Arabidopsis thaliana: one gene and its partners. The protein of the gene in region 4 binds, or shares a complex with, the protein of the main gene of each other region. Each region holds a gene or a part of one and is shown on either strand. Other genes may lie near its edges.

Evidence for each region.
Region 1: SMU2 (region 4) and RS31a share a complex: the UniProt entries of both Arabidopsis thaliana proteins name them as parts of the spliceosome.
Region 2: SMU2 (region 4) and ATU2AF35A share a complex: the UniProt entries of both Arabidopsis thaliana proteins name them as parts of the spliceosome.
Region 3: SMU2 (region 4) and RSZ21 share a complex: the UniProt entries of both Arabidopsis thaliana proteins name them as parts of the spliceosome.

Annotation. Positions count from the first base shown.
Region 1 is NC_003071.7:19,135,416-19,140,799, forward strand, and holds RS31a (RNA-binding (RRM/RBD/RNP motifs) family protein), read right to left. Parts: upstream 3,348-5,384; 5' UTR 3,226-3,347; intron 3,100-3,225; 5' UTR 3,078-3,099; coding exon 2,972-3,077; exon of another isoform or gene 2,444-2,971; coding exon of another isoform or gene 2,416-2,443; exon of another isoform or gene 2,313-2,415; coding exon of another isoform or gene 2,267-2,312; coding exon 2,154-2,266; intron 2,076-2,153; coding exon 1,840-2,075; intron 1,746-1,839; coding exon 1,479-1,745; intron 1,385-1,478; coding exon 1,354-1,384; 3' UTR 1,151-1,353; downstream 1-1,150. Other genes in the region: AT2G46600 (Calcium-binding EF-hand family protein), read left to right, coding at 655-1,062; AT2G46620 (P-loop containing nucleoside triphosphate hydrolases superfamily protein), read right to left, coding at 3,656-5,131. UniProt on the Arabidopsis thaliana protein: Probably involved in intron recognition and spliceosome assembly.
Region 2 is NC_003070.9:9,612,939-9,617,756, forward strand, and holds ATU2AF35A (U2 snRNP auxiliary factor small subunit), read left to right. Parts: upstream 1-1,968; intron 1,969-2,198; 5' UTR 2,199-2,213; coding exon 2,214-3,104; 3' UTR 3,105-3,419; downstream 3,420-4,818. Other genes in the region: CYCT1;3 (cyclin T 1;3), read left to right, coding at 1-122, 204-376, 454-599, 842-1,029; AT1G27640 (uncharacterized protein), read right to left, coding at 1,525-1,968. UniProt on the Arabidopsis thaliana protein: Necessary for the splicing of pre-mRNA. Probably active at the 3' splice sites.
Region 3 is NC_003070.9:8,426,350-8,431,759, forward strand, and holds RSZ21 (RS-containing zinc finger protein 21), read right to left. Parts: upstream 3,137-5,410; 5' UTR 2,912-3,136; intron 2,893-2,911; exon of another isoform or gene 2,836-2,892; 5' UTR 2,816-2,835; coding exon 2,727-2,815; intron 2,655-2,726; coding exon 2,566-2,654; intron 2,470-2,565; coding exon 2,256-2,469; intron 2,051-2,255; coding exon 1,886-2,050; intron 1,749-1,885; coding exon 1,742-1,748; 3' UTR 908-1,741; downstream 1-907. Other genes in the region: AT1G23850 (uncharacterized protein), read right to left, coding at 1-696. UniProt on the Arabidopsis thaliana protein: Probably involved in intron recognition and spliceosome assembly.
Region 4 is NC_003071.7:11,254,154-11,261,556, forward strand, and holds SMU2 (RED family protein), read right to left. Parts: upstream 4,918-7,403; 5' UTR 4,761-4,917; coding exon 4,714-4,760; intron 4,623-4,713; coding exon 4,482-4,622; intron 4,387-4,481; coding exon 4,337-4,386; intron 4,260-4,336; coding exon 4,145-4,259; intron 4,070-4,144; coding exon 4,021-4,069; intron 3,920-4,020; coding exon 3,830-3,919; intron 3,281-3,829; coding exon 3,212-3,280; intron 2,805-3,211; coding exon 2,681-2,804; intron 2,200-2,680; coding exon 1,793-2,199; intron 1,650-1,792; coding exon 1,266-1,649; intron 1,178-1,265; coding exon 896-1,177; 3' UTR 779-895; downstream 1-778. Other genes in the region: AT2G26470 (embryonic stem cell-specific 5-hydroxymethylcytosine-binding protein), read right to left, coding at 5,163-5,930, 6,082-6,147, 6,228-6,337, 6,801-6,866, 7,157-7,269. UniProt on the Arabidopsis thaliana protein: Auxiliary spliceosomal protein involved in splicing of specific pre-mRNAs that affect multiple aspects of development.

The DNA of each region.
Region 1 (5,384 bases), 7.9 Mb from region 4:
AACCATTGGCCATTGCTAAGATGGTTATGTAGGCTTCTAACATGTCCTCGGTCGTTGGTTCAAAAAGCCACAATGATCATTTTACCTTTCTCTTAGCAATTTTATATCCAGTTAACAACTACTTAGTTCATATTTTTTCATAATAGTCACATCTCAAATTCAGACGAGAAATTACCGTTACATCAAATCAGTTAAGGCTTGGACGGAGAAAGAGATATTTTATTATATGTCGACATGTCGTTATTATTGTAAGAGAATCCAATTCCATTGAAGTAAATAATTGAAAGACACGACGGAAGAAATCAAGAAACGAAACTTCTCCGAAACTTACCATTGTCTTGTCTTTCTTTTGATAACAATATATGGGAGTGGGAATGCGTCGTATTCACGGCCCATTCGAACTTTCCACGAAACCACCTAATAATCAGCTGCTTCCCTCCCTACTCACGAAATCGCATTTTATCTTGGAATGAATATCAGCCGTTCATTATTTCAACTTTCAGAATCCAACGGCTGCGATTCAAGAGAGAGTTTTAGGCCACACGAACGTGACAAACACATCGGTACAGATACGCCACTCACTTATATATCCCTTTGGAACTAATCAAAAGAGTTCACCAAAATCTCTTCTCTCTCTTCCATTGTCTTCCTCTAATGGAACCAACCGAGAAATCTATGTTACTAGAAACTACTAGTACCACGAAGATGGAGACCAAATACGAAGATATGTTACCAGTTATGGCGGAGAAGATGGATGTTGAAGAGTTTGTATCAGAGTTATGCAAAGGTTTCAGTTTGCTTGCGGATCCAGAGAGACATCTCATCACAGCTGAGTCTCTAAGACGAAACTCAGGGATACTTGGAATTGAAGGTATGAGCAAGGAAGATGCTCAAGGAATGGTTAGAGAAGGAGACCTCGATGGAGATGGTGCTCTTAACCAAACCGAATTCTGCGTTCTCATGGTTCGGTTAAGCCCTGAGATGATGGAAGACGCCGAAACTTGGTTGGAGAAAGCACTCACCCAAGAACTATGTAATCACAATCTCTCTTCTATGCCTTGAATGATCGTCCTCCTTTCTTGTGTATTCTCTTTTTACTTCTACAAAACCTATAAATGTTTCTGAATATAAAATGAAGTAATGATTTCTTGATCCTGAAAAACTGAATGGATTGCCTTGAAACTATTCCAATTCCAAAAGAGATCATTGCCATTATAAGCTACTAATACTTTCTACACCACATAGAGTGCAAAGCACATACGGTTCAAGTCATAAGCGGTAAAGACTCAGTACTAAGAACTTGTTTTTGTACCATGCCCATACATTCTAAAAATCCATCGCCCAACAACATCTTCAACCTCTTGCTCTTTGAATCGGGGACCGGCTGTTAAAAAATAGAAAAGAAAAATCAGACAATTAGAGTAGCACATAACACTATATATAAGGATATTGACCATTCAGAAGCCAAGTACTGTTACCTTCTGTCATAGCCCGGACTCCTAGCTCTTGCTCTACCATAGTCTGAACTGCGACGCCCATAATCTGGACTCTTACGTCTTTCATAAGGAGCAGGACCCTTGTACCTGTCATATTCAGGACTGCGACGACGGGTATAATCAGGACTAGGACGCCTCCGATACACTGGGCTAGGAGATCTCCTTCTTCGACTGCCAGCATATCTATCTTCTCTTTCACCAGCCTCCCTCAAGGCATACTCAACAGAAACAACCTTATCCAGTAATTTGCTGCCAAGAGAGGATAATCAATGTAAGGGATTACCACTCGATCAATCACTACATGTCAGATAAATAGGTACTAACTAAGCAGGTTTGTTGTTACCTGTTGTGTGTAGAATCAAGAGCCTTGGTTGCATCTTCCTGGGTTGCGAATTGAACAAAAGCAAAATTGCGCCTCATGCGAACATTGAGAACTTTACCATATGGCTCAAAGTGTCTCTCCATATCACGCTCTCTTGTGCGAATAGGGTCAAAGTTGATGACAAAGAGTGTCTTTGTAGGCCTCTGATTCGAGACTGCCTTTCCATCACGAGGCTTCCCACGTTCACCCTGAAAGTCCTGAAAGCCAAAAGAAACTTAGAGCTCTCTGAAAATATCAGAGCATAAGATTAATTTTTAAAAAGAAGAAAAAGATACCTTGGCCCATTCAACTGATAACTTGCGTCGCCCATATCCAAAAGTGGTATTGTCAGTCCTACGGATTGCATCTTCAGCATCGCGCTCATCCTCAAAATACACAAAAGCATAACCTGCAAGAAAACAAAAACTCAAGATAAGAAGAGCGAGCATATACATTGACAAACTGTTTCAGCCCACAGAAATTGCAATGCAGGAGTTAGTCGATTAGAAGACACCTTTTCACCTAGAGAAAGACAAAAACTAAATAAATATACAACACCTGCATCAATGTGAAGGCTGGTGTACATAAGAAGTAGAGGCGTTCGATGTAGAGTAGTAAATAAAGATGTAGATGTGCAGTTGTAGAATGTAGCCTATGAAAAGGTAATAAAATCCAAATTTCTGTTCAATTCTGAATGGTTGCTAAGCCTTGCTTCACCATTCTGACATGAAAGGCGTGAAGAAACAAGGCAATAGATTGTAGGCTCAGCGAAGATTGTGGGCACAACATCATAACGGTAGGCATGAGAAAATGTAGGAATCTATTTGCAGGAAGAAATTGGCAATCCCATGAAAAGAGGAAACACAGTCATGCTCCTTTAGAGAAAGCTCCTGCGACCAAACAAACACTTACATACGAGAATCCCTCTCTTAAACACAACCCCAGTCATGGTTCCTTTTGAATTCTCTCCACACTCTTAACACTAATTCATGCTTCAGTAGAAAAAGTATCAATCAATAATGCCTGAGAAGCTCTCAAATTCCAGAATCAAACAGAGACTACAACACAGCAGATTGATCGCCATAAGGAGTACAAGTGCAAGAAAACGTTTTACCAGACTTCATATCAACTCGCTTCACTCTCCCGAACTTGCTGAACAATCTTTCAAGATCCGAATGGCGAGTATCATAGTCGAAATTCCCAACGTACACATGTCTCATTCTTGCAAAAGCAATCGAATTCCTAACACCAATTGTGATCAACATAAACAAAGACAACAAAGATCAGAACATTTATACTCGAAGAGCTCGCAAAGTATCTTTGATGATTCGATAAATCTTCATCTTCTGAGGGAGATATTCAATTTACCTTGAAGAATCTGAAGAGACGACGACGAGAAAGATAAACCCTAGAAGACGACGACGACGCTCGGCGAAGAAGACGGAGCTTCGTATTAATGACACAAAATCTTATAATGATGAACCGAAAAGCGTGTTATTGACGCTGTTACCATGAAGGGCATATTTGTCATTCCGTTAAAATTATTAATCCGCTTAACGCTATGGGCTTTTGTTTTACAACCGGCCCAAAATGTTCAATTACAAAGTGCTCAAAACTCAGAATCTCATACTTTGGGGACTCAAAAGCAAAATCTTATAAACTTCTGTACATCAACTAAAACCCAAAAACAATAAAAACAGAGTAACAACTTTCTCTAGTCTACGCTTTTTGTCCAGACTCTCTCTCAACCAATAAAACCAACCCACGTGGCTGCTGACTTTTAAAAACTTTTTAATCACTAGCCGTCCCTCATCTCTCGAGCCACATCGAACGATCCAGATTTTCTACTACTTTTAATTCTCAACAACCCATACAACTTCCTAAACTCCTTCACCGCCGGCGAACTTCCTCCGCCACCGCCGCAAAGCGAACCACTCATATCATCAGAAACATCCTCCGACGTCGACTTTCTCGAACCATTTTCTAAAAGCAAACGTCGTCCAGTTCCTCTCCGATCACCATCAGTCTGCAAAGCATTGATGACATGCTTCAATGCACGAGTCGGCGAGTTACGATTCGCGATCATCAACTCTCCGATCTCGGCGGGACTCAAAGACGCACCGTTTTGAAATATTCCTTCAACTTGAGAGAAAAGCTTGTGCTCTTTAACACCTAAGTAGTTATTAGCGAGCGTTTTAAACGCCGTGAAATCACATAAGGGAAAATGAATGTGTACGTCGACCCGACCCGGTCGAAGCATAGCCGGGTCAATTTGTTCTTTCCCAGTCATCGTAAACACCATGATCCGTTCATCGGCGGTGCAAGAGCTGAGAATACTATCAGTGAAATTCAAAATCCCAGATAAATTCACAGCCGTTGATTTCGTCGAGAGGTGTCGATCTAGATCTTCGATCACGATCACTGATTTGCCTCTGGTTTGTAACAGAAGCATCTTAAGATCTGAATCATCAACTACTTTGGAGAGATCTATATCGTAAACATCGTAATCTAAGAAATTCGCCATTGCTGCGACGAAGCTTGATTTTCCGGTACCGGAAGGTCCGTATAAGAGATAACTCCGTTTCCAAACACGGCCCAGACGATTATAATACTGTTTACCTTTGAGGAAAGATTCGAGATCAGATTTGACTTTGTTCTTCAGATCCGTTTCCATGGCGATGTTGTCGAAGGTACAAGGATGATCAAACGGAATCGATCTCCACCGTCCGTTCTTCTTCTTCTTCTTATTCAGATGATCATCGATTCCGACGTTGATGAAAAGCTTAAGCTCTGTGTTCCTCTGTTCAAGCTCATCAGATACTGTATGTATATGCTGGAGATAAGAACCGAGAATTCTCCGTTTGTCAGCTTTACGAATCTTCAAAACGAAATTCCTCGCTCCATCTTCGTCTTCTCCGTTAATCCAACAAACTCTAGCGCCGAGAAACTCGTCGCCAACGACTTGGTTCCGATCTAACCGGAGGATGATTTCGTTGGACTTTTTCCCGGTGAAGAGGTTCGTGAAATCAGAATTCTCGATCGAGCTTAAGGAATTTAGATACATGTAGACTTTTTGGTAGAGATGATTCTCTTGAACGTTGTCGTTGAATTCTGGGACTTTGTAGAATTGGTAAACATGAAACCAGTCGATGATCTTCCTACGCCATAACTTGACCATGTAAATCAATCCAGTTTTGAATAACAGGATCCTAACTAAGAACAGAGCAAACGTTGACACAAGTAACAAGAGAAACGAATCCCAAAGAATCCCCATGGAGAGAAATAAAATAAGAAAAACGTAAAACCTCTCTCTGGTTCCAAAACTCTCCGCTATATTATATAGTAGTAACGAAGAAGAAGAGTTTACTAGGTTTATTAGAGAATAAAGAAAGCAAACGCATGTTCGGAGAATTGTGAGAAAAAACAAAGAGAGAGTGATTATTTTGACGGAGATTGAGAGAAAGTTTGGAGGAATATTAAGAACAATCGGAGAAAGCCTAAAAGGACGACGAGATATTATTATTTTT
Region 2 (4,818 bases), on a different chromosome or scaffold from region 4:
CCAGTCTGTTCCTCGCTTGCAAAGCTGAAGATGAGCCATGTCAACTGTCCAGTGTCGTTGTAGCGTCTTATGAAATAATTTATGAGTGGGATCCTTCTGCCTCAATTAGAATCCATCAAACTGTAAGTGTATACATACATCTATGTATTGGTAAATTCGCACTGTGCATTTTGCTAATTTATTACATGTTGCTCTGCCTGTAGGAGTGTTATCATGAATTTAAAGAAATTATTTTGTCCGGGGAAAGTCTTCTGCTGAGCACAAGTGCTTTCCATTTAGACATTGAACTTCCCTACAAACCTCTGGCTGCGGCTTTGAATAGACTGAACGCTTGGCCTGACCTTGCAACAGCTGCATGGAATTTTGTGCATGACTGGTAAAGACCCTTGTTAATAATATCTGCCCGATTTTTCCCCTACATTGAGTTTGAATCTTATTATGCATTGTGTGTAGGATTCGAACCACACTATGCTTGCAGTACAAACCCCATGTTATTGCAACAGCCACTGTGCACCTAGCTGCTACGTTTCAGAATGCGAAAGTAGGCAGCAGGAGAGATTGGTGGTTGGAGTTTGGAGTTACAACTAAGCTATTAAAAGGTTTGCTGTTCAAACTCTATTTTTTCCTCTGGTATTATTGCAGTCATTTGATCAAGTGAGATGTAGTGTTTCTATAATGTTAGCGCTAGGAATATGTGGTACTGTAGCTCCAGCTCATGTTAGGTTCTTACCCTGTGCACATATTGAGTTTGGAATTAGGTAGTGGCCTGAACGAAGAGATGTGCTGCTATTGATTTTAGCGGTTGATTAAAAATAATTGGATGTTTTCATTATGGTGACAGAGGTAATCCAGGAGATGTGCACACTGATAGAAGTGGACAGAAGGAGGAATATGCCACCTCCACCTCCACCTCCAAGAAGAGAGTTAAGTTGGGCAATACCTGCAGCCGTAAAGCCGGTCCATATGGCTAGAGCTTATCCGTTTCACAGCTACCCTTTGCAGTCCTATAGACAGGCTGGCATCTGGTGAGCCATTGTTGAGCAGCATGAAGATGTAATCTCTCTTAGAGTCTTGAGTTGGTTTAGCAATAAAAGATTTCCGTAGAGACTCATGAGAGAGGCAGTGTAGCATTATATAGAGATCCGAGTGAGGTGCTTCTGTCTAAGTTAAGCGTCTCATGTATGACCAAAGTGGATTCTCTCGAGATTCTTGGTCTCTGTTCTCGATAGAGAGAGATTATGTATAGAAGTGTCCCATTCACATGTTATAATACTAGCTGACTTTATATCGTTTGTATATCTGGAATCTATGTTTTTGGTTTCTTTAAAAAGTTTAAAGTTGTTTTGATTTTGACTAATTCTCTCATTGTTAAGTAATTTGGTTTTTGATGAAGTGCTATTAGGTCTGTGTTGAGTTGAGACTTGAGACGAACACAATCATCATATGATCAAGCTTATACCGATCGGATAAGTAATTAACCGGTTCAATTAACTACACCTAGCTTATACCGATCGTATAAACCGGTCAAGAACCAAAACCGCTTGGTTTCCATTCTAGACCAAACCGGATTCTAGTTTCCATTATTATTATCTTTTTTATCGGATTAAAAATATAAATCCTTATGTCAGGAGATCCCATTCTCTGTCTCTCTGTCTTTCTCCCCCAACTCGCGAACAAAGCAAACCCTAGATCATCCATCGGCGAGTGAGACGGCAGCTCCTCGTCGGTAATTCCTTCCACCGGCGGCGACCACTCACCCTCAGATCTCTCAATCCCACTCATCTCTGTAACATTCTGTACGCTTTCTCTCTCTCTTTCTTCGCTTTTGTGATCTATTACGGCTCGGTCTCTGTGCCTCCCAGCTCTATTTTGGAGCACTGCTTCGTCTCTGTGTTTATTTGGCTCCTTTGTGTGTTTCTCTATCTCTGCTTTTCTTTTGTATTGCTCTGTTTCCGATTTTATATCCATATGTCTCTGGTTATTTGGTTATATCTATGTGTGATTCTTTGTTCTTTTTTCCATTGAATTCAATAGCTGACTAAGATCTCTGCCTTTTATCTTCAATAGTTGCTCAATCTTTTCGCTTTCGTAACATAATTTAGTTTCTTGTTGATGTTTTTGATATCTACCAATCTCTTTTCAATTTATGTCTATATGTTGCTAAATATCTTGTTCAATGACTGATTTCTTAAACTCAGGGTGGAAATTCTGCCATGGCGGAGCATTTGGCTTCAATCTTTGGTACTGAGAAAGACAGAGTGAATTGCCCTTTCTACTTCAAGATTGGCGCTTGCCGTCATGGTGACCGGTGCTCGCGTCTTCACAACCGTCCTACCATCTCCCCAACACTCCTTCTTTCAAACATGTACCAAAGGCCTGACATGATTACCCCTGGTGTTGACGCTCAGGGCCAACCACTCGACCCGCGTAAGATTCAGGAGCACTTTGAGGATTTCTTTGAGGATCTTTTTGAGGAGCTTGGAAAGTTTGGCGAGATAGAGAGCCTCAACATTTGTGACAACCTTGCTGACCACATGATTGGCAACGTATATGTTCAGTTTAAGGAAGAGGATCAGGCTGCAGCTGCTTTGCAGGCTCTGCAAGGTAGGTTCTATTCAGGACGTCCCATCATTGCTGATTTCTCTCCTGTGACGGATTTCCGCGAAGCCACGTGTAGGCAGTATGAAGAAAACAACTGCAACCGTGGTGGGTACTGTAATTTCATGCATGTGAAGCTTGTTTCGAGGGAACTAAGGAGAAAACTCTTTGGGAGATATCGGCGATCATACCGCAGAGGAAGTAGAAGCAGGAGCAGAAGCAGGAGTATTAGCCCCAGGAACAAGAGAGATAATGACCGACGTGATCCTTCTCACAGGGAATTCAGTCATCGGGACAGAGATCGCGAGTTTTACCGTCATGGAAGTGGAAAAAGGAGCAGTGAGAGGTCGGAGAGGCAAGAGAGGGACGGTTCAAGGGGTAGGAGACAAGCAAGCCCTAAACGAGGAGGGAGCCCGGGTGGCGGGAGGGAAGGAAGTGAGGAGAGGAGGGCAAGGATTGAGCAATGGAACAGAGAACGGGAGGAGAAGGAAGAGGGAGGAGCATAAAAACAGTTGTTTACTCAAATCACAATTGCTGCTATGTGGTTTCTGCGTCTGCTTCTCTGCGTTTATTCTGAAATCGGTAAAATCTGGTGATGGATTTTTCATTTGGCTGTTCTAATTTGGAACTTGAAATGAGTGGAATCAACTTCTTTAGATTATAAAATGTTTGGGGTTACTTTCTTGTAGTTTTGATTAGGAAAAACCGCTCTGTCCCCTTGTTATTGATTTTCACCAGTGTTCTTTAGAACTTTGTACTATCTTCTGTTGGTTAAAACTTAAAAGAGTTCTAGTTTAATTCGAAGTTGTCTATTGTTCTTCAATGCTTGGGAATACTAACGAGTTTCTGTGTCATGGTTCAGTTGTGGCACTAATTCGGGTCAAAGCACCTCAGAATTTTAGACAAAGATAAGGGGCAAACACTTTGGGCCTTTGATTGCATTGATTTGTGTTCCAAACACGTCAGAAGTTAAGTCTTTTTCTAAACCAGTTATCGAATGGGTTAGTCTTGGTTGCCATTTTTCAAACATACTGGCTTCCAATTGGTCATGCCAAATATGTAGCTTACTAGACCTATATACTTTCCAAAATTACTTCATAAGCTGTTTGTCTAATTCACGCAATGAATACATATATGCATAAAATACTCCATATGAGTAAAAAGATGTATAATATAGCGGAATATATAACAGAAGTCGACAATGCAATATACATCAACCCTAAACCATAAAATCATGAAGGTCATTTTGGCTTGTAGGCGTCGTCGAGTCCCTCTTCAGTGATCGTTGTGGTTCTTCTGGACAGAATATTCAAATGGTCATATAACTCATAACTCCCAAACGGCCAAACCATTGTTCTAATTGTGATGACGAGTCAAACCACTAATCACAATAAATTAATTACTTTTTTTTTTGTCCCACACATGTTCACAAATATATGTTTAGTTAAAAAACTCAGAATTAATCAATTACAATGCATTAAAATATCGCTACCACCGTCACACCACCCCAATACATCCGTCCGATCTAGCATCAACACCCACAGCCCATCCCATTGACACGGCGGTGTCATTTCTAAAGCATCAAACAAAACATGTCATTGTTTATTCTTACTTTACATTGACTGAATAGTCTGAATTAACATAATATATATATATATATATATTTACGGAATTTTATCATATGAATTCTCAGTTATGGAGATTAGTAGTTCAATAGATTGGCCACGTGGAGAAGTCTTTGCCGTCTTCGCTTGAGTGGATATATTATAGTAATAAAACCCATACGATATCTTGTTAACTTTTTAAAAGTTTTCTTACATCAAAAATATACAAGATATCAAAGTTCAAAAATTAGAAATCTGAAAGATCGTAGCTACATAGTGAAAGATGGATTGTTGAACAGCGTTATAAAGTCACATTAATTCCATGTAATAATAATACCTCAAAATCTCAAATACAACACATGCACGTGTCTAGCTTGCTGCGTTTCTATATACATTATGCAACTGAAAATCGAATTATAATGATACTAAAATGAAATATATGATCTTAAATTTGTTATTGTTAGGAAAATATAAAGATGAGGAATGGGGAAAGTCTGTTGGACAGTGATGCCCTAAATTTGAGAAAGCATATATTCCCCTGCTCTAAAGCCTTTGTCCTCTTCTTAGACAACTTTAAAATAAATAATAATGCTTTCCCATACTTTTTAGGACCCTC
Region 3 (5,410 bases), on a different chromosome or scaffold from region 4:
CGCACTCCACTTGCTGAACATCGCCAGTAAACCGAGAAAGATAGCACCGTGAAACATAGCTAAAACCGCATCAAACAACATCTTTACCGGACTGTTGACACTGCTGCTTCTGTAATAGCCTTCGGCATCTTCTTCAATGTTTATAGAATAGTAGTATGAGTTTTCGCCTGATCCGGTCAGAGAAATGATGTGGAAATAGTTCGTTGCTACAAATAAGAAGCCAAAGAAAACAGGGGTTGACAAGAGAAGGACGTACAGAGAGGTGATCAGACAACCTTCAAGTCTGTTTTGACATATCTCTACCGTTCTCCGAACCAATTGACCGAACCTTAACGGTTCCTCCTCCGACGTGTGAACAGTCCAAGATGCAGAGACTATTGTGGTGGTGGTGAAGAGGTCTATGAGGCCGTACGGGAACAAGTAGAGTAGAAATGTCTGGATAAGCAATGGAATCAGATTCTCCAAGACGGAAGCATCTTGAGGAACGTAGTAGTAATCCCAATTAGTGAGTTGTCGAACGAGGTATTGAGAAGCGAGTGAGACAGTGGTTTGGAGTGAAAGCTCGAAGAAGATCAAGAAACAAAAGAGGGGGAGAGAGCAAAGGAAGAGGAAGAGAACAAGATTGATGTTACCACATAGAAGCTTTGTTGCTCGTTTGAGTATGTTGATGAAACCTAGATCCTCCTCAATCTTCATCTTCTTTCACAGTTCTCTTCTTCTCTACAAAGAAAAAGGGAGAGTACAGATCTACTACAGTTTTTTATTCGTAAATATGGAGTCGTTTCTTCATTGACGTTGACGTAAGAATTGGTATACCAACAAATCTGAACCAAATTGCCTCAAAACCAAATTTAGAAAAGTATTAAAATGAAAACATGTGGCGGCCGAAGAAGAACAGATTAAAAGTCGAGATTAATTGGGAAAAGAAAAGCATAAGTGGGAAACCAAATCATGAACACAAAAGACTAAGCTAACACGTTTTTCACAAGCAATATAAAAAAGAAGCATCCACAAATGGGTTTAATTTAATGTAAGTGTGTGATCCACCAACAGATGTGTAACAAAGTTGACCGAAAAACAAAAGTGAGTAGAGAAACCAAGTGGTGATATAGCAGCCGAGAGCTAGGAAGAGGACGGGGTGAAGAAACAGATTCGTCTTTCTCAATAGAAGCTTGGTTGCAGACTTGGGGTAGGAGTGGTGAGTAAAGAGCAGGGCAATCTAAAAGTCACACAATGTAACAAGCAAATTCTAGCTGATGTTGGTCGAGTTGAGGATGCAGATTCATGATAAAACTAAGTTGTGGGGAGAGTAAGATGCAGCTGTGCTGCCAAGAGATCCCCGATAAATCATACCTCACAAGGGAAAAAGAGTGGAAACAGTTGAGCTTTTTAGATATGTCTATATAATAAGGAAAGTGCATTCAACAAGAGACAAAACATTTATGGATACGAAAGAACGACCTCAAGTGTAGGGGTTCAAGGACGCTGTGTGAAGACAGCAGGCCAGTGCGTGTTATAGAGAATAAGTCAAGACGGCTGTTGGAAAACAGCATGAAGGAGAACTCACCAAATCCAATTGTCTAATAAAACTCGAACATACCATGACATGTCCATGCTCAACAACCAAACCTAGAAGAGCTAATACCATAATAGCAGATATAAAGATCTATCCTAAAAGGCGCCACAGAGTAGATATAGCATCATAGCTTAGTAATAGCTTCTTTCTCTTCAGGGTCCAGTTTCACACCCTGCAGAAACGCAAACGAATATATACCTTATATCAAAATACTTCAAATGTTATTCACATCTACATAGACAATGCTGAAGTTGAGTCATGCAGATTGAGAAAGTAAACCTAAATCCAAGAAGAGAAAAGAACTTTTACCCATTGGCATATGGCGAACGTCGACCATAGGGCGAGTCTCTGCGGCGAGGAGAATCACGGCGTGAACCACGATAAGGAGGGGATCTGCTGTAGCTCCTCCCACGGCGAGGTGGAGTAACACTGCGACGCCTTGGAGGAGATCTTCTTCCACGCGGGCTTATACTCCTGAACAAAATCAATTCCACAGGAACAAAAATGTATGTCACAAAGCGATTATAACATCAAGAAAGGTACTATCAACATTAACAACTCAGCCCCTATACATGATTACAAAGTGCAATTTCAATGGATATGTTAACACAATGGACATACTAATGACATACTATCTCATCTAAGCAGCTCAATAAGAATGTTTCCGTTGGATCGTTACCTGCGAGCATACCCATAATCTGGACTCCTACGACGACGGGGACTAGGGCTTCTACGCCTCACAGAGCCTCGACCACGGCGACACTCGCGAGCAAAATGTCCAAGCTCACCACACTCATAGCACTTGGAATCCTCAATACCTCCACGACGACCACCACCACCTCCACGACCTCCTTTATCTTTATGAGAAAGCTCCACACGCCACCCATTCTTTCCTGAAGTATACGCCACAAGAGTAAAACTTTTCAATGACCAAACAATAATACAAACATTACATGGTAACTAAGAGGTCTAATGAGAAGAACACTAACGATCCAATGCGCTGATTGCATCCAAAGCATCTCTTTCGTCATCGAACTCGAGGAATGCGTAGCCAGGAGGTCTACGAGCTACCCAGACACTGCGATTTTTAAGATTCAGAGTCATAATTCGTATGGCTTGAAACAAAATTGAGTACAGAGATAGGACTTACTTGCGAAGAACACCGAAGGCCTTGAATTCGTCTTCGAGTTCTCTTTCGGTGACGCGTGGGTCCAAATTCCCGACATAAACCCTCGTCATGTTGCAAAGATCAGTTGAATCTGAACGAAAGAGAATCGAATTTTGTGAAGAAATATGGATATCGATAATAGTTACAGCGAGTAGTTAACAAGGTACCTGAGATTCTTGGTCCTGAGCAGCGAAGCGGGATGTTTTAGGGTTCAGACTCAGACTACGGCGAGGAAAGAGAGTAACCAAGTTATTTCATTATTATATGAAAACTGAAAAGTAAAAAAAAATTAACATCATATATTATTTGGTCATTTATTAGTTATTTCATGGTCCCTTATTTTTCGGTAATCCATATATTCATAAACAAAGTTTTAGCGACCAAAATGTAAGACTAGTCTCCCATAGTCGATTAGTTAACGTAAAAAGAGAATTGAGGTGAAAGCGGATTTTGAAACTATGCAAAACATCTTTGACAACAAAAGTTATGCAAACATGTTTCTAGAGTTTGATGTCTAATTACTGTAACTTGACGTGATTCTCAGTCTGAAAAAAACTAATGGGCCTAAAACCCATAACCTTTTGGTTAAAATTTTAAAAATATGAGCAAGTTTCAGTTGCTTAATGGCCCATATGAGTTGGTTTTGGTTTTCAACTTTTGCATCAGTACTTGTATCTTCTTAAATTTTCAAAATATAGTAGGCTGATTAAATCTAAGTTTGGAGTTGGCAAGTGTAACAATTGTTAGTTTTACATATACCTTACCAATTTACACATGATTGGGCACCTAATTCATGTGAACAAGTCTCTAAACGATTGCACACACACAAAAAAAAAAGAGTCTCATTGTTTAAAATTGCGTCGACGTAAATAGAAAAGGTTTCATCATCCCACCAAAAACAAAAAGACACTTATCCATTGGGGAAAACATTCTGAACCAAGATAAGTCATGCTGGGTCCCACTTACATCGACTCCTCTAAGACTGTGTCTTTGACACGTGTTTAGTTATGATTCGTTTATTTGCAGCCACTGTGTAGACCCCACTTACCTCCTTTTACAAAATCGACATTCAATTTACACGTGTCGCTATTCCCTGGCTTGTCCCTTAAGCTGGACATGGGAGGAATAAGATACTCTTTAATTTTTGGATGGCTATGGCTAAATAGATGGCTCAGAAGAAATAAGATGGCCATAACTTCATTCGTTATCCAAAGCTAACATTAATTGGTTAGTATCAAAATTTCTAAAATTGTGAAATATTTATAGAATATTAGTATTTAAAATTATATCTAATTGTATAAAAATTTTGGGGAGTGATTATTAGTGTCATGTTACTTATTGTAACTATCGTTGTGCATATCAATAAAAATATACGGATTTCAATTTTAAACCTCACATTTACAGATATTTAGTTAGATATTTAAAAGGGATATCTGCAAAATGGACAATATAGATATTCGATTTTTTTTATCGTAGTTAACAAATGCATGATATCATGTATCATATTTACACATACTATTCTTTTTTTTTTAAGTCTAGTAAAACGGATAACGGGTTGAAGAAGGATAAAAACATTTGTATCCAGCCAAGCCCTAAATTGGTATTGTCAAGTGGAAGAGCAAGAAAAGTAAAGAAGAAGAAAGTGTCAATCTGATTCGGATCCAATTACCCAATCCTCGTTGGCTTCCTAAACAACGTGAAAACAAAACACGGCTTATATATGTCAACGTTATTTACATTGACACTTGGAACCATTAACACCAAATGGGGATAATATCGTAAAATAACACATGGTTAGTACTTTAGTGACAATCCTAATGCTGCTTTGTCCCTTGGGGGGTTTGAGAGGCCACCCTGACCTACGTGGTGCCCTTTTAATATCAATACATTCCCGATAATGTGTGCTTACATGTTTTAATTATCTTAGTTTAGTCATATAATAATGACTTCGCTTTTAACTATATTATATTTACTATATGTAATATGTACATGCATGTTGCATTCCCAATGATGTTTGTTCCATTTTTATGTCTTTATCTAAGACTTTTAGTAAGACAAGATAACTCTAATGATCTTTCTTTTTTGTTAAAGTAAGAATATATATCGATTCAATTCATCTTATCAATATGGATATAGTCTTAGATCGTGTGTAGAAGTTTTGTTTTTTGACCAATACATTAAATTGTTTTAGTCTTTTTTTTTTTTTTTTTGCCAACGGATTATGATAATTATTTCTTAAAACGTTACCTGCACTTTGTAGAGATGTGACTAGTCGGTATTTTTTTTGTTAACATGAAACGACTTGTCGTCAACATTAGATTTTTGTATACATGGACACCGCCACTTTGATATAAATTTCTCATGTCTTACCAAATCATAGATTCAATATAGCTACTTAAACTATACATTGAAATATTTTTAAAATACATAAAAACAAAAACTGGAACCGTAAACAAAATTGATGGGATGTTTTTTTATTTGTTTCACGGGAAAAGTTTGTAGAATTTAAGCATGCTACATGCAATGTTAAAAACTGTTGTATATTGTAATTTATTTACACCATTAACATTTTATATTGTGTAAACTTAATGATTTGGCACCAGAGTTGAGTTTTTCTTAGAGTCATGTTTACGGAAAATCTGATTCATTTTGGATAAACTCGTAAA
Region 4 (7,403 bases):
CTCTTCTTCACTCTCGTCCAAGAAGAGCAAAGCAGAGCAATCCTTATAAGGACAATAGAATCTCTTTGAACTCATAATCACCGCCTCGCAAAGAGCGTCTCCCCACCGATCAAAGACTTCTCTTGGCAGGATTTGACCGCATTTATCGGGCTCGAGCTGCCCCGAGCAACCAGAAACAGGGCATTTGATTGAGAGAATGTTGTCTTGTAACTTAGCAGCTATATATTTTGAGACACAATCGTTGCAATAAGTGTGAGAACAGCCATTGATTCGAAAAGATTCAATCCTTGGTTTTCGTTCAACACATATCTCGCAGTCGAAAGAGCGTCTTCGTCGTTGTATTGGTCAAACAGAGGACTGTCCCTTTTCTATGGAGATTGGTGTGAAACAGAGGATTCTTACATCGTCATCTTCGTCGTTGTATTGGCCAAGATCTATGTAGTTTGTGAAACCGGATTTGAATGGAGTTTGAGAAGAGTGTATTGGCCAAGATCCTCGACGGAGATGGCGTCACGTTTGGTTGAACCACGAGCGGAGAGAGGTGTGGAGAAGATGAAACGGTCGGAGTCATTGACGGTGGCTGCATTCATGGAATCTGTGGCCATTTTTCTGATTAGGGTTTTATGATTTTTCTAGTTTTTTGCTTGTCTTGTTGGGTTGGTTACTGAAGCGTCTCATTTTTGGTGATGCTAAACCTAAAACCTAAGGCTGTCCCAACTCCCAAAACTGCTTCGTGTTTAATGGGTAATTAGGAAATAAGAATGCTATCATTTCAAAATTTGGACGTAAAATCTTTTCTAAATTAAGAATTTGAACTCAAGGTACCAAAAACCTAAACAGACTTGAAGATACAAAATAGATTACGAGAGAATGACTGGAGTAGACAAGAGACAAATCAATGCTTGGATCTCTTAGGAGTTTGTGCCTCGGCGGCATCCAAAGAAGCAACATCCCCACCCTCCTTCTCCATCTTCTTTCTCGTAAGTATCTTATTGATCTGGTGAAGTTCATTATTGAGCTTCTGGTCACGGTCACGGTTCTGCTTCCTTGTCTTTCGACCATCTTGCATCTTTACCCCGAATTGGAACGCCGCTTTTGGCATCGCTTCCTTCTGCTCATTATATTTTTCCCATTCCTCTTCTGTCTCAAAGTCCCATCGATGTAAACCACCCTTTGCCTGTTCCATGTACATTCAACAACCAGATACTGTAATTTTGCTCTTCCACAATAAATAACAAGGAACATGTAATTAAGTCAGGGCATACCTTTCCACCCATGTCCATTTTAGACAAATCAGGTTCTTCATCACTACCGACAATCTCATGGTTGTACTCTTGGTAACCTGGATAACACTCTGAATAACTCTCGGATACAAAAGTTGGATCTTTCTCCCTTGCGTCACTCTCCCTCAACTGTTGAAGCCTTTGGTCATCACGCTTGAAAACCGATCCCAAACCCCTATCTTTCTCTTCCTGCGACATGAGTTGAGGATCTAGTAAAACATCGGTTTCTGGTTGGACCTCGTAACCCTCCATTCCAGGTTGAAGGTACTGCTCCTGATACCCAGTTTGCTCTGCATATTGGTATTCCTGCCACTCTCCGGGGTACCCAGGAGCCAGTCCTTGAGTTTGCATTGCACCATATGCACTCTGGAAAAACACACAACCACCAGAAAAAACCTAAATATGGGAATAAATGACATCTAATAACTACATACCAAGACGCAAAATTTGCAGACGAGGATCAAGATTTGAGAATAAATACAACCAAGGATTAGCTAGGGTGAACTGACCATATCTTGCCATTCCTGACCAGCAGATGGCTGCACTGGACCATAAGCAGGCTCAGCGAAATAAGGTACCTTCTCCTGCACTGGACCATAAGCAGGCTCATCGAAATAAGATACTTTCTCCTTATCCCTGGGAGATTCTTCCATGTCCTCAGAAATAGGACTCTGTGTCACATCTTTACCAGGAACCGTGTAATCGACGCCTTCACCAACAAATATGTCATCATCGTCTGTCCTGGCAACAGGGGGTTCTTCTTGTTTCGTACTCAAATCCAGATGGTTTATCCCAGGTGGTAATGGCGGAGGAGGAGGTAAAACTTCCCTGTCACTTATGTTCACAGAAGATCCATTCTCAATCTTAGATTTATTGTCGTCTTCATCATAATCATTAGCAATAGTTGACATCTTTCCTGCATTTGAAAAGTTGCAGTGGATGTGATTAATAAGGCAAAATAATATAAAAAATGCATGAACGTATGATAGAATAGAAATTAGCAAATTATCTTGCTAAAGAATCAGAAACCAGCCAACTTGTATCCAATTGTATGCTGATGTGAAACAAGAACTACAACATGTACTGGCACCACATTAGCATAATAAAAATTACTAACAACAGAGTTTACAGAACCATCAAGGGACGGCAGCAACATATTTATGATACAACTAAATTTCTTCACAATTGATAAGCGAGAACACAACCAGACATCAGTAGATACTACTAGTACTGTGGTCAAAGACTAGGTACACTCTTTACATTCTTGGCTCCAAACTGTAAGACCAGATAATTAACAAATTTCGGGAAAAGCAGAGAACTTATTTAACCAGTGTAAGTGAATCAGGTCTGCTAATACTTAAACTTTACAAAAAAATGCACCAGTAGATGCAAAATACCTTTCCCATCTTTTTCTTTCTTTTTCTTCTTGAGAACTTTCCCCGACGACCCAAGGCGAAGATATGACATGATTTTAGCAATTCGATCTAGCACAGAACCATCAACATTGACTGTGACAAATTCCTGTTGGGGAGATAGGACAGAGAAACAGTGCCTGTTAAATGAAACAATTCTCGCAAAAATTGCAGCAGTGATTTCAATTATAAATTTTTATTATGTTCAGTAAACAAACATATTAAGCAACGTTAATTTTGGTTCCAGATTAGTAGAAAGAAAGTTGAATTTAGTTTAAAAAGATTTTTATAATTACTTAAAGAAAATCTATGCTTCTACCAAAACTAATGACTTATATAATCGATATTAGCTGTATTGAATACATCAACACTGTAAAAGAAAATAGGTTGCAGAGACAGGCAGAGTGGGCTTATTTTCATTAGAATCAAAACGATCATGTCACATCACTGCTTACAGTCTAAAGATTTTTCCAGGATCAAGAAGACTATTACAACAAGGACTCTAAGTATACATACCTCGGGCACCGGGCAGTCAGCTTTACTCCTATATAACGTGGTCGGTATGTCATGGGTATAGCCACCTTCCTGAAAAGCAACAAATAGAATTAAAAACAAAAGGGAATAAAATTAATATACATCAACAGGGAGGCTTTCAAAGGGCAGACTAAACCCATACTATAAGCTTAGCCTAGCAGCTTAGCTGAGACTAAGTATCTCAAAGGAAACTTCATACGTAACACTACCAAATATCAATAGTATATTCAACTGACTTTTCTTGTCGTATGGTGTCTCTATCTGCAAGAGAAAAAGAATATGCTTCTTCAAGAAGAGCAGACACGTTAATCGAACTAAAAAACCTTTACAACCAATTCTGCGTATAAGGTTTCTAACAAATAGATTAAATCGTGAATAAATCGCTAACAAGGTAATGCAAAACAGCTTAAGCTACCTTCTTAAAATTTTCCTGAGACATGTATTTAAACTAGAAGCGAAGATTTAACTAAATATTAACTAATACTCGAAGAAGAATCGTTGAAGCAGAATACACATGTATGACTACTTCCTAAGACAAACAACGACATAAGAACATGTAATAAGATTGAATCTTCCTGAAAAAGAGTTAACAAGCAATACCATATCATAGACAAATGTCATTCTACCGGGAAGAAACATCTCATTAGACTTGATGATAGTCTGAGGCTTAACAATCCACTGGTAAACTGACTGAAACAGATCAAAGACAAGAGAAACAAAAAACATCAAGCGCGTTAACTACATCCCAAAACTTGCTCCTCATCTGCAAAGTTCAGAACAAAATTGCATACCTTTGCAGCTATGGTACGGAAAGTAACTCGCTGATCTTCCTTAGGCGCACTGTTAATATAGTAAAATTAGCACTTGAATCAAAGAAGCCAAATGAGTCAATAAACCAAGTATAACCAAATCTACCTAGTCTTCCCACCATCACCATCTTCACCATCAGGTTTCTTAACGATTTCGCTTCGTACTTTATTCAACAAAGCATAATCCAAACCCTTAACTAAATGGGTATGTTCAACATCACCTAAACCATATCATAAAAACAACATAAGCACCTCAAAAAAAAAACATTTTGAATAAATTTGTAAACCTAACACAAACCTCCAAGATATTTGCTGTTCTCAATAGATATCTTAAGTGCATCAGCAGCACTACAACAAAAAAAAGTACACAGCAACAGAAATTTAGAGAAACCCAATTAGAATTTAGAAAGATAATGAAGTAATCGAGGAAAGACAAGTGCTACCGGATATCGACAGCTCCGGGAGGAGCAACGGCATGGAAAGAACTAAGCTCTGATGGATCATAATCAGGATTTTGATTCTCTCTTCTTTCTTTAGCACGATCTCTGTATTTTGGATTATCGGATTCCTCTAGTTTCTCCTCTCTGTGAAGGAAAAGTGACGAGTTTTGATGTTTTTGTGTAAAAACCCTAGCTTTTGAAGAAAAGGGGAGAGAGGAAAATGAAGATTTCTGACCTCCGACGAGCGGTTTTCTCCTTGTGATGCGATTTTGAAGGTTTCATTAGATTTCGTTAATTCGATTTCTTGTCGTGAAACAGAGAAAAATCAGATTTTGGCTGAAGTTCTTCGTTCTGATGATATCTGTGTCTGTTTCGATTTCAAAGCGTTGGTGGTTCTGGTCAGGGGAAATTAGAATTCGATGTTTAATTTAGAAACCGGATCTAATTTAAACCGATAAAATCGTTTAGCGACCGGGTTTGATTATCGAAACCTGGTTCACAAATTTTTACCATCCACCAAGGACATTAAAAACCCAATTCATTCATAATAATATTACCTTAGATCAAAGATCAAACACTACACATACAATACAAGCAACATTCCCAAAACGATGGTCTTATCTAACATTATCTACAACAAAAGTAGGCCAACATGGTCCTCATAGATGTTATGTAGACTCAAAACTATTTCTCATCGAAAAAGAAATGTAATGTAGACTGCGTCTCCTTAGATTTCTTGATGTTAGATTTCCCCATTCCATGCATCTTTCCTTGTTTCCCACTGCTTTTAACATTTTGCAACCTCTCATAGTGTTTCTGTGGCTTTTCTTGAGCTGAGAATACCTCATAGTCTCGCTTTGTCCCACTCTTTTCGCTAAACACTAAGCCACCTTCCTTCGTCGTCGGGCTAGTTAAAACTGTCTTCTGGTTTTCATTTCCTGGAATATCTTCGACAGCCTCATGCAGCTGATTCAATCTCTCATCTGCAGTAAAGAAATGATGGCTTTGAGTCTCGGGTTCTTCTTTTGAGATTCTTTGGAGATCAAGGATGTAGGACTCAGCCGGTATACTGGCACTGCTCTCACCTGTTTCTTTAGTAAGACCAGTCTTTAGGGATTTGCCTTCTTCCTTTGTACCCTCCTGAACATCATTCTTTACAGGTTCAGGAAGTGACGCAACTGCTGAGTTATCTTCAACAAATGGTTCTGCTTTCACAATCTCTTGAAACTCCAGATTTTTGGCTACATTCGACATATCTTTCTCCCCGTCTAGTTCTTCAATTTTCTTAATGCTGTCAGAAAACGTGTCCTTTTCAGCCGTAGGTTCCTTTTTCAAATCAACTATGATATTTGCATCTGTTGATTTGGTTTCTTTGTCTCCTTCATCTGTTTTGGGCTGCTTTGTTGAGAAAAACTTCGAGATCAAGCTATTTTGTGAAGTCTTTAGCGGTATCTGCAGGTGGCATAATCCTTATTTGAAATGACAATAAGCATACAGACTGTACAAATACATAGTGATCCTGACAATATGTTTAATGCGACTTGAGATCAAACTTGAGATTTGAGTTGTACACTACTAAGAAAGGGAAAGATGTTAACCGTACCTGTTGAATACACTCTGGTCCATCAAACGTTGGTTTACCAATTGCAGAGGTTACTGGATACCATACCTGAAAGTTCAAACTTCAATCTCAAGTAAATGAAAAAGGAAAGACCACTCTTATATGCGAGGAAGTAAGCAATTGCATACCAAATCCGATTTTTCATATGGTGAAAGTAATGGCTGCAGTTTCGTTGTCGAGGGATCATCTAACCATGTGTCGATTGAATCCTTATCACCAAGAATTACAGGCATTCTGTCTTACATGAAAAATAAACAAACTCACGTGTTAACACAAAAATTCAGGGCTGCTGCAAATCAACAAAACAATCATCAACAGCCGCTAATAATGTAAGCATTGTATAAGAAACGCTACTCTCAATATTAAACTACCTTAAACAGCCACTGCTTGTTCTATTCCAGTACTTAAAGAAGTTAAAGATTCTCATGCAATTACATATGTATCTTTTCTAAAAGAGCTTATCAAATCAGATGTAATACGAAAACAGAAACAACTCATACTACTATGATAAGTTTGTATCTTTATTAATGTGCGGGTTTGATTAAACCTCATTTTAAACAACGAGGAACACAAGCTTCAAGCGTCCATAGACAAATATACAATTCCCAACTTCATATGCTATGTGTTTCATTGTGCTACTGAGAATCATTACTGAATAAGAAAAAATGTCACACGATGTAGCCAGTGTATATATTACTAACCATGGAGCCATTGGAGGGCTGAAGAGGAAGCGGTTGTCAAAATCGTAAAGGTGTAAAGTGTCTCACCTGCAAGAAAAAAAAAGTAACTGTTACTTAAATTGAAAACAGGCGAGATATTGTAGCTACCAAAAAGGACATAAAACCAAAGACTTAAATTCATTCAGCAAGTTTTGCTTCAATTTTCTAATACACGTTAAAACTTCCTACCTAAATATATGGAGGTTAAAAGTGATGAGAAAGAAAGATAGTAAGCAATTCAAACATCTCTTAAAAGGAAGGCTAGGAAATGTTTCAGGATCGGCTTCAATAAGAATATAGACACTCAGAGCTTAATATAACGAAGATAAACGGTTCACCTCCTGAGTTCTGCCAAGTATCAAAAAGAGCAGCAAATACGAGAGGTCTCCCATCCTCAAAATGGATGTAGTAGGGTTGCTTTTTTGAACCTTCCTTCTTCCACTCATAGAACCTTCAAAACGAATCACACTGTAAGTTTTTTCGCGTAGACACAACACAAGCATGTATATTTATATGTATAAAGAAAAATTTCACATCTGTGTAACATGAAAAATTAAAATATCTAGCTGAAAGTTTGTATGAGTT